Drosophila melanogaster: one gene and its partner. Changing the gene in region 1 together with any one later gene gives a genetic interaction. Each region holds a gene or a part of one and is shown on either strand. Other genes may lie near its edges.

Evidence for each region. Genes that interact genetically often act in the same process or in processes that back each other up.
Region 2: of raw (region 1) and slpr, changing one suppresses a phenotype caused by changing the other (phenotypic suppression), as found in Drosophila melanogaster (one study listed by BioGRID).

What each region holds. Positions count from the first base shown.
Region 1 is NT_033779.5:8,736,420-8,743,232, reverse strand, and holds the start of raw (raw), read left to right. Parts: upstream 1-2,572; 5' UTR 2,573-2,819; coding exon of another isoform or gene 2,820-2,848; intron 2,849-6,813.
Region 2 is NC_004354.4:8,169,946-8,180,089, reverse strand, and holds slpr (slipper), read left to right. Parts: upstream 1-2,904; 5' UTR 2,905-3,537; intron 3,538-3,635; 5' UTR 3,636-3,796; coding exon 3,797-4,075; intron 4,076-4,135; coding exon 4,136-4,788; intron 4,789-4,854; coding exon 4,855-5,021; intron 5,022-5,091; coding exon 5,092-5,267; intron 5,268-5,522; coding exon 5,523-5,543; intron 5,544-5,875; coding exon 5,876-6,052; intron 6,053-6,114; coding exon 6,115-6,229; intron 6,230-6,628; coding exon 6,629-8,508; 3' UTR 8,509-9,411; downstream 9,412-10,144. UniProt on the Drosophila melanogaster protein: Activates the JUN N-terminal pathway during dorsal closure.

The sequences.
Region 1 (6,813 bases):
AGATCGCTGAGGATGGCAAATGGATAGGGCTGATGGTGACGAAGGAACTGGGCACTGAGTTCTGGGTGGTATTGTCCAAGTGATGGAGGTGATGAATGCCTGTGTGCAGATGCTTTTAAATTTAAATCGAATCAAATTGATTTGCGCACAGTTCCAGTTTCACTTTTTTACCCACGACCGCCTTACACTCGAAGAAGTCTTTAACTTAGAATCAAAGAGCAGGTGAAAAAAAAATTATTTAAAAAATATATATGTATATATTTTTTTTATATAAGCAACAATGTTAAATAATGTATTGTAGATATTGTAATAAAATATTATTTTTCGTATCAATTTGTAAAGTTTTCTATTTAAGATTTCGAGTTTTTCCTAGTAATATGTGGTATTAATCTTGGATATTGACAGGCACAATATATTCTGATAAAAATACTTTTTAAAACATAATTTTTTGAAGTGTAGTATCAATTGATATCGCCCTTTTTTGGAAAAGAAGAGTGCACCGTGCTCTGACCACGTCCCAGCTCCATTGTTTAGCCATTTGACAAGTGTTTTGACAATATTTATTTGAGTTGCTACAAGCCACGGCAACGGCCACGCCCACAGTCCCGCCCCCTGCGGCATACCACCCCCGCCTCCCTCTTCGCACACTAGAACCACTGCCGCTGGGTAATTTGATTTCCTCGACGCTGCCATCATCTGCATCCTTGACGTCGGACACGTTTCTGCCTAATGGAGTTGCTCGAGTGGCGTGAATTTCAATTAAATTAAATCAAAATGTTGCATTTTTTATTAAGCCCATTAGCGGCACACACGGAAAACCCGCCCCCTCAGAGGACCGCCCGCTGGCCCCTAGTTGGTTAAATTAAGTTAAGATACCACCTCGTCAGTGCGAAAAGAACTTGTATCTTAATGTGCATAATGAAGTGCCAGACTTGACTTGCCATCCAGGAACACCTGGATGTGCCAATATAAATCCGGTGACTGCACTGATCCTACTGCTGCGAGGAAAAGCTATCGGGAAAATCCCAGTTTAGATGAAAATGGGGCCATTCAATAACTGAATTGCTATTTTTGCTAGCAAAATGATTTTAAGGGATTTACTTATTCAATTCATAATTATTTATAAATAGCGAATTCTTAATTTATAGTTTTATATATACACACCTTTTAAATGATTTATGTAAGTTTCTTATTAATAGATATTTATTTACAAGAAAATGTTAAGGAAAAGGCTGCTGTTTTTCCGACTGTTTCTGCGAAAAGCCAAATATCAGTGCACAAGAAGAGTTGGTGGGCGAAGAAAAGTGGAAGTGGAGTTTCCTATTGTTGCACATGCATTAAGAGTAATGCTGCAGTGCTCGGAAAATGCTGGAAAGAGGGTGAAAATGCTACTTTGAGTGGCAATAAACAATGCATAATGAGTTGAGAGTCGCGTTATTATTGTTGCAGCCCGTGGCTGAGACTGTTCATTACTCAAACAGGTAATTTAAATTAAGCCAAAACAATACGCCAAGGTGGCATTTAAAGTAGGTGCAAAACGCATTTCGCCATTAGGAAATTGCCAATTAAGAAGCAAACACTTCTGGGTCCATTCATTACTGCAACACTTGCAGGCAAATCATTTAATTGTCTTTTAAAAATATACTTAAATCAGCAGAGGCGGCAAAGTATTACAAGTCTTCATGCACTTTCTCAGATATGACTAGCCACAAGCACTTAATTCTTGATATCACTTGGAAGTGGCACTTCCAAATCAAAATTATATACATTTAGTAAATAAGAACTATTCGAAAAGACATTTTTCATTTAAAAAGGGAACATTAAGATTTTACTAATTTTTCTATTATCTTAAAGAAAAAATTTTCTAATTTCCACATTCCGTATTTTGTTAATACAACATTTCATTAATAATAATGCAGATATACCCACGATGTCAGGATTTTAAAATAATCTTGAATAATTTGCAAAAGTTAGATCAGAGCAAATATAACATAGATTTAAATTTGTGATACTGTTACCTAACAGAATTTTACAATGTTATTGAAATGTTAATTTTAACACAAAAAAGTGCTCTTCTGCTAATTTTTACATGCACCCAAGACAACAACCATCGAATACAACTGAGTATACGTTCGTTAAAATTTTGGTGGCAACGCTTGTATTCCTAATCTATTAAGATGGCAAGGCTCGTTATCTGAAGAATTTACATTGGCAGCATCAAACATCATTAACTTTGAACTGTTATACAATGGTGCCAATGTAACTTTTTCTCGACAAATGAATTTTGTACTTATTTACCCAAGTGTATATGGAAACAATCAGGTACCGAAAATGTGAACTCTTACAATATATTTTACCTCTTTTTCATCTTAAGTTGTTTTTTTATAAAAGATATCAGCACTGCTGCAAAGACAGCATGCTTTAATATATAATATATATTAATTAAATAAGTTTCACAGTTTTTACGTGGTGTTAACCAACTTACAAAATTCACTCACAAATGTTAACATTCTGTACAAGCATTAGTGTTACCAAATACTCGATAGTATTTTCGCCGTTCCACCAGCTGGTCACACCAGAGACGAATTTAGAAATCTAAAGAGAACCCAACAGTTTCCTAATGCAAATACAATAAACTAATTGTTTAAAATGTGACAACAGTGAACCAAATGCTTGCTGAGTAATAAACCAAAGGATGTTTTGTTTTTTTCTAAAACGTGCCAAGTGAATCGGCTCCACGCAAATGAGAGTGCGGTCTGAAAACAATGGAGCTGCCGTAAAGAATTGATTAAACAAAATAGTCGAGAAGAGAGCGCAAAATGCACAAAATGGTTAAATTATTCCTCAGGTAATTTCAGTCCCAACAAAAACAGCATGTGCCAGATTGCTTTCGTGCTCTTATTGCTGTTGTTGTAGTTCTAGACTCTCTCTTTGCGCTTTAATATTATGAATGACGTAAGCGCGCCTCTTTGGTAGCAATACAAAAGCAATAACAACAATTTGGTTTTGTTGCTTTTGTAAACAAGGAAAATAACAGAATGGTTTTGTACCGCTCGCGTGTGTGTGTGCATAGGTGAGTGGGGAGCTCACTCACCTATGCACACACACACACAAACGCAGGTAAAAGTGGCGTCGTTGGATTTTTACTTGGAAAACGTGTTCGAACTATAAAGAGAAATAGTAAGAGAGAGCTGAGCAGTCTAGCGCTCTTTGCAATGTTATTTCTTTTTTTGGTCAATGACCTAAGCTTTTTCGTCCGTTAGTTGAATTCGTTTCTTTCGCCAATTTCCGTGCTTTTGTGTGCGAGTTAAAAAACTTGGTCTATTTTCACAAAAATCATTGTTTACACTTTGTTGATGTGTAGGTAATTTTCCCAGGCTTTCTTAGCCTCATTTTTCAAGAAAAGGAGTAAACACTAAGTTGGAGGCCAAAGTTGTGAATGGTAAAAAAAAAACGTAATTTTTAAAGAAATTTAAAAAAAAAACTGCCAGCAGTAAACAACGTACAAATCAAAAGAGAATAATTGAGAATACTATAATTAATAGTGTTGTATACATGAAATGTTCAAGAACTTTATTTCCCGAACACATAAAGCATGAAATGAGTCTTCATAGTGTTTCCTTATATCTCTGAAAACAAATAGTATATCACTCGATCATCCAATTGCCTTGCTGTTGTGACATCTTGACAGTAATTAAGTTTATGCACTCAATTGTCACAAAGCCGGAAACAAAAGTGCACAAAGATGTAACATGTTGGTACATTTTTTGCAATGACAACAGCACGCAAATTAGTAAACATTACCGGCCAAATAACAATGCACTGTTTGGAAAATAAAGTAAATATTATGAAATAAATATTATTGTTGTTATACAAAACAGAAAGCAATTACGGAGAAGCAGTAACTGCAGCACAGGTATATTTGCATTCGTGATAACTTTTTGGTAAATAAATTATCTAAGCAATAAAAATGTTTTAAACTTGTAGGATTTTATTTTGGCTTATAAACATAAATACACTTAAAAATAAGTTTTAGGTCGCTTGTTTCAGTTTGTTTCAGAATGTTTTAAGAGCACCGTATAAAATTTTCGAAATTTTCCACAATCTTGAACGGTACTTCTGCGTATTAAGATTAATTGTTTGGCCTTTTATCAGTCTATTTCACTGGAATAAATATTTAACTAGTACTCAGATTTTGTAGGGCACTCTATATGCGGTGTACTTTGCTGACCGAAAAAAAGAGAGATACAAATGTTGAGAATGCGAGGGAAAACGCTTTTGTGATCTTCTTGATTTAAAAATTTTAACGCCAGTGCTGACCGAGCAATTAAAATGTAAACAGGCGGGAAATGAATAAGCGTGCCAGGGAAAAATAAAATGAAATCCCAAAATATTTACAATCATGCAGCAGCAGTTGCACATAAAAACCCAGGAAGAGAAGAACGGAATCTTAACGTGTATGCTTTCGAAAATATACTTGTACCTTAAAATGGCAAATTGGCAATAAGAAACCGACGCGACATTAATATGGCTAGGTAAATACAAAGGCATCATTACCGAAGGTCGTTTTTGTTTGCGTGCGATAAACTTTTTTTCTTTCGACTTTATAGCAAATATTCACGCATACAAACAAACCCGAATGCTTCCCTGTGTTTGCGATTGGTATTATCTGTGTAGGCCTTTGTTATCCAACCATTTGCTTATCTGGGCACGGCTGTCAATGCGTGTGTTTGTGATGGATACTTGATTGAATTGTTGTCCGTATGTTAGCGCCTAAAAAACAATCGACAGCCGCTTATCAGCTGGCAGAAACATAAATAAAATTTCCTCAAACTGAAGCCGAAGGTAAAATGCTCTCTAAATCAATTGCTATTATTAAATAGTATTAGCTTAAGAAGCAAGAAGGTTACGTTTCAAGGGTATACAATAGTCGTTAGCCATGTCATCGTAAAGTCACTGCCCCTCCTCGCACACATTCAAACAGTTTGTCAATCAACCGACAATCGGTTGCCAATCAAACAACAAAAATTCGTGGGTGAGGTGAGTTCTAGATTTTCTTTGGTTAGAGGATGGGAAAATCTGTCTGAAAAGTGGGACAGCAATTGACTGACTAATCGAACACATTGTTTAAGTCAATTATTTCCATTTAAGCTACATGATTCGTTTCGAAAATATTTCACAGTATATGGATGTTTTGAATACTTAGTAAAAATATATAAAATTCGCAATACTTACTTTCAATGTATTTAAAATATCAATTGGATTGGACATAATTTACACTTGTTGCATTCCTTTAACCTTATCCACAAATTAACAAAGTCCAAATTGTTTTCCATTTGAAGTACAAATATTATTGTTTTGTATTTTGTTATCTTATCTAATTCTTCTGAAATGACAAGTTATCCAATAGCAAATATTTGATTACTACAAACTATATTGTAATTATGCAGTAATTTTGTTTTTCCCAACTAAAGATGTTAGGAAAATAGAAACAATCACAACTAGGAATCACTTTCTTATCTGCATCTTCTGTTGTGTTTTGTGTGTCAAGTATAAAAGTATCAACAATATGTTATCCCATTTTATCTCCTCCAATTAAATACCCAAAATAATGGCTACCATTGTTAGTACGTTCAAAAAGTGTAATCCGCGATTATCCGAAACCGCAATTAAAAATGTTTTCACCTTGTTCTCAACCCGTGGCCAGCAATTAATAAGGCTTAGATGGATTTTTGGCCAGCATACAACCCCAGATAACCCACAGTCGCATGGCATCATCGCGAAATGCTCATAAAAGGCGCGTCTATGACAGCATCTCCTCCGCTGGTGCCGTGCAAAATTGAGTATTTTTGGCCAAAACAACAAGCAGGGCAAATAATACACAAAAAAAAACCAACAAAAACCTAAAACAAAGAGCCCAAGCAAACGTCTTGGACATGTGCGCAAAAATCTTTTGAACTTTCGCATTCGAGGCGGGCGAAACAAGTGCCAAGAGCAAACCCTGACATACATTATAATTTGTAGCAACGCCCTCTTTTTTTCGAGACCGATTTTTTTTAATATAGATATATAGTTTTTTTGCGGCTATTTTGTTCACCTACACGCGCGCCTAATCCCATTTCGAGCGGCATCAATAAATTGTCGGCCTGGCAGATATAGCCAGATTTCTATTCGCATTTTTAGCTGTTCAAATAGGTGAGTTTTTTTGTATAGTATATATGGCCACCTATTTGGTAAATAGTCTTTAGAACGCCCACAACAGCTGTTGACACTCACCCACGAAATGGAAAAGGGAAACGCTATGGAAATAGCATTACCTGGTATTCCTATTTTTGGCCAATACCCAGGTGGATCCACAGAAAAAAGTCAAATTAGTGCCGAAGGGAGTCCCATCATTAGTTAGTCACCAAACTCTCGGTCAACTACAATCTATATTCGCATTTTTTCGGACATGAGTAACCGTGATAACTAGTAATTGGGAGCAAATCGGTTTGGACCCAGGTGACTAAGTCACTTCGATCCATAGAAATGTAAATGCACAGTCCGTTTAGGAAAGCTATGGTCTTGCAAACCAATCGACCGTTAATAATGAGGCCTCACTGTTCATTAACCCATTTAAATAAATGAATTTTTGTAAGTTTAACTCGTAAAATATTCTTGAAATTTAAAACATTAACGAAGTCCATTTAAATATTAGTATAATAAGATCCTGGACTTGGCAATATAATTTTCAAACGCACTATAGATTATGTTGACTTTCATTTGAGTTTCCATTTGATGGCAAAAACAAAAGAAAGCTTAAAAGAGAAAGTA
Region 2 (10,144 bases), on another chromosome or scaffold:
GCGGCGCAGACATAACCTCAACTTCTTGCGCGCTGCTTACCACGCTGCCGGCGTCGCAGTCGGCGTCGCGGCTACCAGCGGCAGAGGCAACAGCTTTACATGGATTTATGTCTATATGTGTGCGTGTATGTATGTGTTTGCCTTTGTGTAAAAATGTGTGTCTGTGTGGGTTTGTGTGAGTGAAGGCAGCCATCCGATTTTCCCCCGATTTTTCTTTTGGCAAAAGCGAAAATAGTGTCAAGGAAACTATTGAGAGACGGTAAAGAAATTAAATAATAGATTAAGTAAGCTGTCAGTCAGCGAGATTTGAGCCAAACTAATTTTAGACTAACAGTTTTACATTTTCATAGTGATAACAGCCTGCAAGCGAACGATTTTCGCTGATATCTTCTATTTTTCTGTTTTGGTTTTGCTTCTATCAGTTATTTGTTCCTTAATGCTTAACAATGTTTTCCCTGCCCTAAAGTTAATAGCATATGTTTAATCGTTTTAATTAACCAATAGTTTACCTCGGTTTTGCGCTGCTGAAACTGCAGTTTGTTGACTTAGGTGATTATTTTAAATTAGTTTTATTACTGGATCTATTTTGGCTTTTTTGTTGTGCGTTTCGTTTTCCTTAAAATTAACTTGATAATTTCTATAAATATATGTATATATATATTTTTTCTTTTAATTTTTTATTTACTCTTTTTTACTCATGTGCGTTTGCATCATTGCCCGTTTTACATTTTCGCCTTGGCTTCTCGCATTTCGATCATTATTTTGTTGTATTTCATTTCAGCCAGGGATTAAAGAACGGCAAAAAAAAGTTACCCAAAAAAAAAACAACAAGAAAATAGCGACACACACACGCGCGCGAAATCACACCCACACATACGCACGCACACACACGCACGCATACGCACACACACACACACACACTGAAAAACGCGCACGCGGCGGAAAAAAAATATGAGCAATTTTTTGTATTTTTTGGTTATATTTTGTGTTCAAATTAGTTGGTGCGTAAAGTTTATTATTTATGTATATTTTCAGTCCGGTTTCCGGTTTCTGCTACATTATTCGTGGGATTTCGTGCAAGATGGCGCATGCAAGACGCTACGCAAAATTTACGATTTTCTTAGCGAAGAGTTAGCTCTCTTTTCGGTTTCTATTGTGTGTGATTAGTTGCGTTTGCCGTATTTTTAGCCCGTTCCGGAGGATTTATTACGTGCAATCCGCCCGTGCGCTGCGCACGCCCGCGTCTGCCGCCGATTTGGAATTGCCACGACGTTGCGTTGAAATGTTGCGCGTAACTGAGTGGCACAGCCTGGTGCTGCCGCCGTTGCTGCTGCCACTTCTGCTGCTGCCGCTGCCGCTGCCGCTGCTGCTGCTGGTGATGCTGGCACACAGCCTCGCCGACCACTGCCGAGACTGCTCTCCTCTCCGGGCGAAGCGAGTGGCGTTTGCCCAGCGGTACAGGTCCTGGTCCTGGGCCGTAGTGTCCTGCGCCGCTCTGCTCCTGGCTCCGGATCCGGCAAAGGCTGTCACTACGACTACGGGAGTTGCGGATGTAGCGCCACATCAGCCAGCAGCCCGGTTTCGTTTCGGTTTCCATCGGCTCGGCACGAGTCGCTCTGTTGCCGAAGCACAGTGGGCCCAATCGGACCATAATTAGATGTTCAAAATTGGTTAATAATATTACAATATTTGTGCAACATAAATGTGAAGAAAATTATCTACGCTATGTTTCTAGCACTCGCTGCTTGTACATTTTTTAGCAATAAAACCTTGAAATATCATAAACATGTGTATAAAGATGTTGAGATGCATAAAATACACTAAATTACAACCAATTAGTTAATTATTGTTTTAAATTATCGGCTTAACTCTTTAAAATGTCATATTTTTATGGTTTTTGAGCGATTGATTAGCATTCCATTCCACTGTGCGATGCCGACGCTGGACCAAAAGGATGAACGGCGCAGCGTCGCAGCCGAAAGGACACGAGCGCCGCCGAACTTTTCAAGGGAGCGTAGCAGAGGGAGGGGACTTACTAAACACATGGCATGGACTAGGCCACCCAGCATCCACAAGCCACTAACACCCACCACCGACCCAATACACACCACCCACCACCCACACAAGGGCGCGTGTTGGGCGCCCGACGAGAGAGTCAGTGGCGTGGGTGGGGGGTTGGTGGTGTTGGTAGTGAGGATACACAGTATACACAGCGTTCCGTTCCGCGATGCAACAGCAACATCATCAGGCCATATCCGCATCGGCAAAACAGGCCAAACAGCCAAAGCGGCCAAAGCAGCAGCAGCAGCAGCAGCAGCTGTAAGCCCCCCTTTTCCATGGATTTCCCCGACTTCTCTGCAAAAATCATGCGCATCACGAAATAGCCGAATATCAAAACGGAAAACATATGACAGCGACATTCCATTTGAAACGTGATTTTAAATAATTATTTCACATTATGTGATTTAATCGAAGTGCATGACATTCGATATATTCAATCTTTAATAGTTTTAAATGAATGCAAGTGTTACAATAGCCCCATTGATGGTAGCATAATTTTCAGTTTGCATTGATAACGACTAAGTTCAATTATTTATTCGATTAAATATTAAGTTGTTAAGTTGTTAAAAACTGAAGAAGTTCAATTAATGCAATCGTTCTGGTTTACGGTACTTTAAATTCAGTTAATTTAAATTTACACATCAACAATGCTTTTGAGTTTTGCATGTATGTTAATAGGATTTAAATACTAAAATTTTTACATTTCAAGCACATTTCAAATTTGAATATTAACGGTCAATAAAATAATCGACATGATAAATACCAATATTGAAAATACTGAATAAGGTATTTTGAAATACCAAATATTTTGCGTTGCCCAACACCGTTTTGATGGCATTTTTTAGTACATTTGCGAATGGAACTAGTATAAATGCAGCAACTGGTTTATGTGAGCCACAACAAAATGATCGACAAAACCTTGTTCTACCACAAATATTAACAATTACCAATATAAAGGTATTTAAACAACTACCTTGATCACAATTTTAGTTAAAATTATGCCAACGAACTGGAACCAAAATCCCAGGTGAACCGCAAATGTAACCAGTTCACTCGGCTGGGTCCAAAGACCAGTTCAATTAAACTAGTTCACATTTGAACAGTGCAACTCTAGTTTTTTTTTTTTAATACATATGTGTTTAAAAAACATATGCAGAAACGGGCTAATAAAACGGATATAACCGATTGCACAGGATCAAGGATAGATCAAAATAACCGACGACGTTAACGGCGACTGCGACTGCGAGAGAGCGACCATGGTGTGCAGCAGCGCGTGTGCGTGTGTGTGTGTTTTGTACCGTGTTGTCTGATTGTGTGCCGTTGTTGTTGTGATTGTTGTTCTCGCTGTTGCTATTGTTTTTGCTCTTGTGCGTGTGGTCAACGGACGGACAGACGGACGGACAGTGGGACACAAGGAGAGTGGAGAATCCGAATCCGGTGGGCAGGAGAGCAGGATTAGCCGCAACATCCTTACCCGTAAGCTGACCCCACCCCACCCCCTTTGGCAACAAATATTACTAAGCTGCTGCTTCTTCTTCGCCCCTTTTGCGGTTTTATCTCTCTTTCACACACAGCGAAACAAAAGCAAGTTAAAAAGCGAAGGAAGCAAAGAGAAAACAACAAAAAAGGAAAAGAAGCAGAAAACAAAAACAAAGAAGAGATTCATGGTTTCCATGTCGCCAACTGTGCGCCTCTGATGCCCTCGCAGGTCTCCCGAGGATTGGACACCACCAACATGCTGCCGATCAGCGAGGAGCAGCAGCTGCAACAGCAGCAGCAGCAGCAGCAGTTAGAGCAACTGCATCATCCGCAGATACCAGAGATTCCCATACCAGATCTAGAGCAAGTCGAGACCCAGGTGGGCGATGGCAGCCTGTGGACCGCGCTGTATGACTACGATGCCCAGGGCGAGGATGAGCTGACACTGCGACGCGGCGAAATCGTTGTGGTCCTGTCCACGGACAGCGAGGTGTCTGGCGATGTGGGCTGGTGGACCGGCAAGATTGGAGATAAGGTGATTGATTACCTTTCTAACAATGAACCATTGAACTAAACCCCAATCTTTCTCCTGCAGGTCGGTGTCTTTCCCAAGGACTTTGTCACCGATGAGGACCCACTGCAACTGAATGTCTCGTCCGCCATTGGCGACATCCAGCCGCATGAGATCGAATACAATGAGCTGGACATCAAGGAAGTTATCGGCTCCGGTGGCTTCTGCAAGGTCCATCGTGGCTACTACGATGGCGAGGAGGTGGCTATTAAGATTGCCCATCAAACGGGCGAGGATGATATGCAGAGGATGCGGGACAATGTCCTGCAGGAGGCCAAACTGTTTTGGGCCCTCAAGCACGAAAATATAGCAGCCCTGCGAGGAGTATGTCTGAATACCAAACTCTGTCTGGTGATGGAGTATGCCAGGGGAGGAAGTCTCAATCGCATACTGGCTGGCAAGATACCACCCGATGTACTAGTCAACTGGGCCATTCAGATAGCCAGAGGCATGAACTATCTGCACAATGAGGCGCCCATGTCGATCATACATCGCGACCTCAAGTCCTCCAATGTGCTGATCTACGAGGCCATCGAGGGCAATCATCTGCAGCAGAAGACGCTCAAGATCACGGATTTCGGTTTGGCCAGGGAGATGTACAACACGCAGAGGATGAGTGCGGCGGGCACGTACGCTTGGATGCCACCGGAGGTCATCAGCGTTAGCACCTATTCCAAGTGAGCTCCATTTCTCTCACACTCTGTCGTCTGTCTTCCTAACTAACAAAACTCCTTACCCGCCAGATTCTCCGATGTTTGGAGCTACGGTGTCTTGCTGTGGGAACTGATAACGGGCGAGACGCCCTACAAGGGCTTCGATCCGTTGTCCGTGGCCTATGGCGTGGCTGTTAACACGCTGACATTGCCCATACCAAAAACCTGCCCCGAGACGTGGGGAGCCCTGATGAAGAGTAAGTGAACGCAATAGACAATGATCCTATACATATTATTGTAATATTTCATTATGTCCAAATCCCGCAGGCTGCTGGCAAACGGATCCGCACAAGCGACCGGGCTTCAAGGAGATTCTCAAACAGCTGGAGAGCATCGCATGCTCCAAATTCACCCTAACGCCCCAGGAGTCGTTTCACTACATGCAGGAATGCTGGCGAAAGGAGATCGCTGGAGTGCTACACGATTTGCGCGAAAAAGAAAAGGTACCAACTGTCTGGAAAACGCCAGGCAAACTGAAAATATAAACTCCCCCTACCTGTTTGAGTTGCTCTAGATCGTTTCTAGACCGTTCCTTGTTGGCCTTACGCCGCGCCCTTCAGTTCTTCCATAGTCGTTCCCCTCTTTCTCCCACTTGGTCGTTGTTGATGAAATTCTAATAATTTGGTATATACTCTCTCTCCAAAACAAAACAATACAAAATTCCCTTGTTTTACAATAAAACATCCAACGACGTTAAGCGTTTCCAAACCATCGAAGAGGTAAGCGCGTCCAACAGGTTTCTCTTGCCCGCCGTTTGCGTTTCAATTGCGTTGCGTTGCGTTTCGTTCTGTTGTTTCGTTTCGTTTCGTTACATTACTTTACTCTATTCTACATTACTTTACTCTATTCTATTTTACCCAAAGTTATCCTGTTTTTTTTTTATTATTGGCTGGATAACTCCCACGATAGAGCCGCACACAAGCCAACAGCTGCATGGTTTCTAGTTCCTAGTTAATGCTATTTTCTAGCACATGTCCCCGTGTACAGTGATCATGCTTAGCCCACACTAACCCGCCACGTTCCACCATGTTATCCCTTTTAATCCCGACAGGAACTGCGCAACAAGGAAGAGCAGCTGCTCAGGGTGCAAAACGAGCAGCGCGAAAAGGCGAATCTCCTGAAGATCCGGGAGCAGAATCTGCGCGAGCGTGAAAGAGTGTTGATCGAACGGGAGCTTGTCATGTTGCAGCCGGTGCCATCGAAACGCAAACACAAAAAGGGCAAAAAGGTATGTGAGTCAAATTAGCCAAAAAAAAATCTTGCATAACATATCTTATATCTATCTTTTAGAACAAACCACTGCAGATATCGCTGCCCACGGGCTTCCGGCACACGATTACGGCTGTACGCGACAAGGCGGAACAGCCGGGATCACCTTCCTTCTCCGGATTGCGCATCGTGGCACGTGAGTACTTTGTCTATCCCAGAGATCTGATTAATTTGAGGGTATTATATATAGTACAGTCCTATGATGAATTATACTTTTCAATCATGGTTTTATGGTATATTTGTTAGACTTAACTCTATGTACGTATGTCTCTGATGAGAATTCAGTGCATTATGCAGGTCTTTGAGATAAGATTAGGCATTAAGTAGACCCAAAATTAGAACAGGAGACTAGACGTCATGGCCATGGGAATGTAAGATACCACCTCGTATCGTTGGACAAATTGAACTAGATTATTTGCATATTTTTGTTATCATTATTTTTGAATTAATTTTTGTATATTTTATTGATTTGCCTTTGGTTTCTTCGTTATGTTCTTATGTTCCGTATTATTTTGATGACATTGGGGTGAATCAGTGACCGATGGGCACAAGGGCAAGACGTGGGGCCCGTCGACGATGCACCAGCGGGAGCGATCCCTATTGCCTTCGCAACTGAGCGGCGGTCAGCCGGAATGGCCCGCCCAGACCTCAACTCACTCCTCATTCAGCAAGAGTGCTCCGAATCTGGACAAGAAGCAGCAGCAGCAGAACCAGCAACAGGTGGCCTCGCTGACACCGCCGCCGGGTTTGGGAATTTTGGGTGGAAGTGGAGGCGCTGGTGGGACGCCGGCCACACCATTGTTGTACCCAGGTATACCCATTATACTAACGCGCCCCAACAACAACAACATTGGCAATTGTAAAGCCATCACCACCACCATCACAACTACCACCACCACAACCACCAACAACAACAACAACAACAACAACAGCATCTCCGCCAACAACAACAATCAGCTAAATAATATTAGTACTATTAATAGCAATAACAATAACAATCAAACTAACCTGACCTCCCAACCGAACACGATAATTGTCCTCCAAAACGGCCGGAACAACTCCAACAGCAGCACCACCAGTCAATCCCCAGCCAAGATCTACCATCGCGCCAGGAGCCAGGAGTACGGACTTGATCATCCGCTTGCTTATCAGCCACCACCACTCTATTTGGTAACGGATGACAGCTCGGAAACGGACACCGTTGCCAGTCCGACCGGTTGCTTTCACTTCCTGAAGTCCGGCAATTCATCGGCGGCCAGTGGTGCCGTGCATCTGCATCGCTTTGGCGGCAGTCTGGGCAACAGTCCAGCTGTGGGCAGAAAGAAGCATTCGCTGGACAGCAGCAGTCATCATCCGCCTGCGAACGGTAGCAATAGCTTTGCACTGCCCAACCAGTTAACTCTGCCATCGGAGGATAACAATACGTATGACCATGCCTTCTATCGGGATGTGATCAAAAAGATGTCCATGGCCAGCAGCGAAAGGGTAAACTCCAAATCCAGTGGCGACCTGACCATGTACAACTCCAGCACACCGCTGACTGCCAGGGATTGCGATGATGCGGAGGAGGCCTTCGAGGGTGGACGCTTTCAGCGTAACTTTTCCGGCTCGCAGTTTCCACGGCACTGCTTCTTCACCAGGCAGGAGGAGGAAGGGGAAGCAGAGGATGAGGACGCGGTGGCGGCGGAGGTGGACACAGCAGATGCGGATGCCGACGATGAGTGTCAAGTGCCCGCCAGTCAGATGCGCCAGAACTCCACCACGTCGCGCAAGAGTTCAGTGACCTTCCAGAGCGTCAGTTTCGAAGAGCCCGATTTTGTGGCCACGCCGCGAACGACTGCCAGATCGGATCTATATACATCCAGTGCCTCAATTAGCTTCGCCACCTACCGCTCCGCCTCGCCATCGCTGTCCTCATCGTCCACCACTGCGTCCGCCTCACCGTCCATTGCTTCTACGGAAGCCGTGAACGGCTATCACATGCAGGAGAACTCCATACTGAATACGCGTCGGATGCAAGATGTTCAGCCGCATCCCGATGTCATTAAGCTGCGGGCCCAGGAACAGCGCCAGCAGACCAAGAACCAAAAGAAGCAACGGCCCAAGCACATAACCAAATCCAAGTCTGTTGAGGCGCCAGTCGAGGGACAGCACCATGAACATGATGACCACAATGATCCCCAGCACCAGCATCACTCGGCTGGATCGAGCAAAATCCGTGCCCTTTTCAATCTCTTTACGCGCTCGCGAAAGAAGTACAGCAAGCTGGCGGAGCACAACATGGTCGGTGGACCCGAGTTCTGTGCCATTGATCCCTATCAAACCGATTTGGCGATGGGGGGCAGCAGTCGCTCTTTGAAGCGCAAAGGCAAAAAGCCGCAGACGCAATCCTGCGAGCAACTGGAGCGATGCTAAAGTCCCAGTTGTGCGCCGTGCTGCAGTGTTGCTGTTGGAGTTGGCCGCCAGATGAGAACCGCCTAATTAGCTCATTGTTTTATATTAAAACTGTAGACTAAGTCAGACGCAAAGGAAGAGCGAAGAGATGAAACAGCAGGCGAGGATTAGCCATAGCTAATGTGTGAAATTAGTAGGGCCCAGAGATACAGATACCTATCCGAATTCTTTCCGTCTAACGAAATCATAGAACTAAACAAAAAACCCCTCTGTCCGCGGTTGGCATTTCATAATAACCGAATTGTTCCTAACGAATGCAATATGTTGTGCGAAATTCACAAATCAAGTTAATCCCTAATTAGTCCAGTGATTTGTTTTGTTTTTTTTTTTGTGCCAGAGGAGTGGCTAGAAAATTGCAATGTGTAGCACAGAAGTGAGGACGAACTTTTGAGGATCAAACGGATAGATAGACTAACGCCGCTTGTACGTAGACAAACAGACACGGAGAGAAAAAACGTGTGCATGGGCCAATGGCAAAATATATTGAACTAAACCATATACATAAATGTGTAACAATTGGATTAACATTAAGCTATATTTATACCGATGCGTAAGTGCGTCCTTACACATTACACATTACACACATCTTAGTTGAACTAAGTTCTAGTTTTGTAGGAACTCGAACATTTTTTTGGAGTCCTTCCTCCTTTTTTTTCACCCCCTCAATCTTTGTAAGAGATATTTTCCAAAATTTCCATCGCTTGCGGCATTTCGTTTGGCTTAAGTACACTTAACGAAAAGTTGCGGTGCACATTAATTTTAATTTGATATTCGACTTTTTTGGTATTTTGAGCACAGTTTTATTTACATACATTTATTATGCAATCGGGTTTTCCATTTTATTTATTTATGATTTATTTCTACAAAAAAAAAAAAAAAAAAGCACAAGAATAATCGCGCAAAAGAAAGAAAGAAAAAAAAACCTGTGATCAAAAAACGATGATGAAACGAAAAGGAAATGATCATTTTTTTGTATTATTTTTATGAAAACTTTCAATTGTATATTTATACTTCATTTTACGATTTGTTCATTCTACGTTTAGTGCTCGATTCTATTTCAATGTACTTTGTATATTATTGTATTTTCCATGTTGGGGCCAAGCCAACCCCAAAAAAAAAAACAAACAAAAAAAAAAGAAGAACCAATACCCAGAAACAGAAATCCGACAATAAAACCAACTTAAGACAATCTGCCGACCAGTTTTGATTGCCTCGCAGCTAAAAAGCACAGAGAAAGTCCAATGATCCAAACTAACATTTAAATTACTTAAACTTATTTAAAGTGAAGCTATCTTTTAATGTCAATTTAACGTGAAAATGACTGAATGAAGAATGGATTTTCTCTGTGCATGAGCACAATCCACAATTTTGGACAGAGAGAGAGAGAGAGAGATTAACCTATTAATATAGGACGAACAGAGTCTCCTTGGTATGCGGTGGTTAAACTTTGGTGTTGCCTGCGGTTACTATCCAACTACTCTTGTACCCCCCGCCTCCGACTATCCGATTACCACCCGACTACCGACCATATCCCAGCCATCGTTCCCCCAAGCCAGTACCAACCATATGCCGTAACTCAATCATGTCTCATATCCGC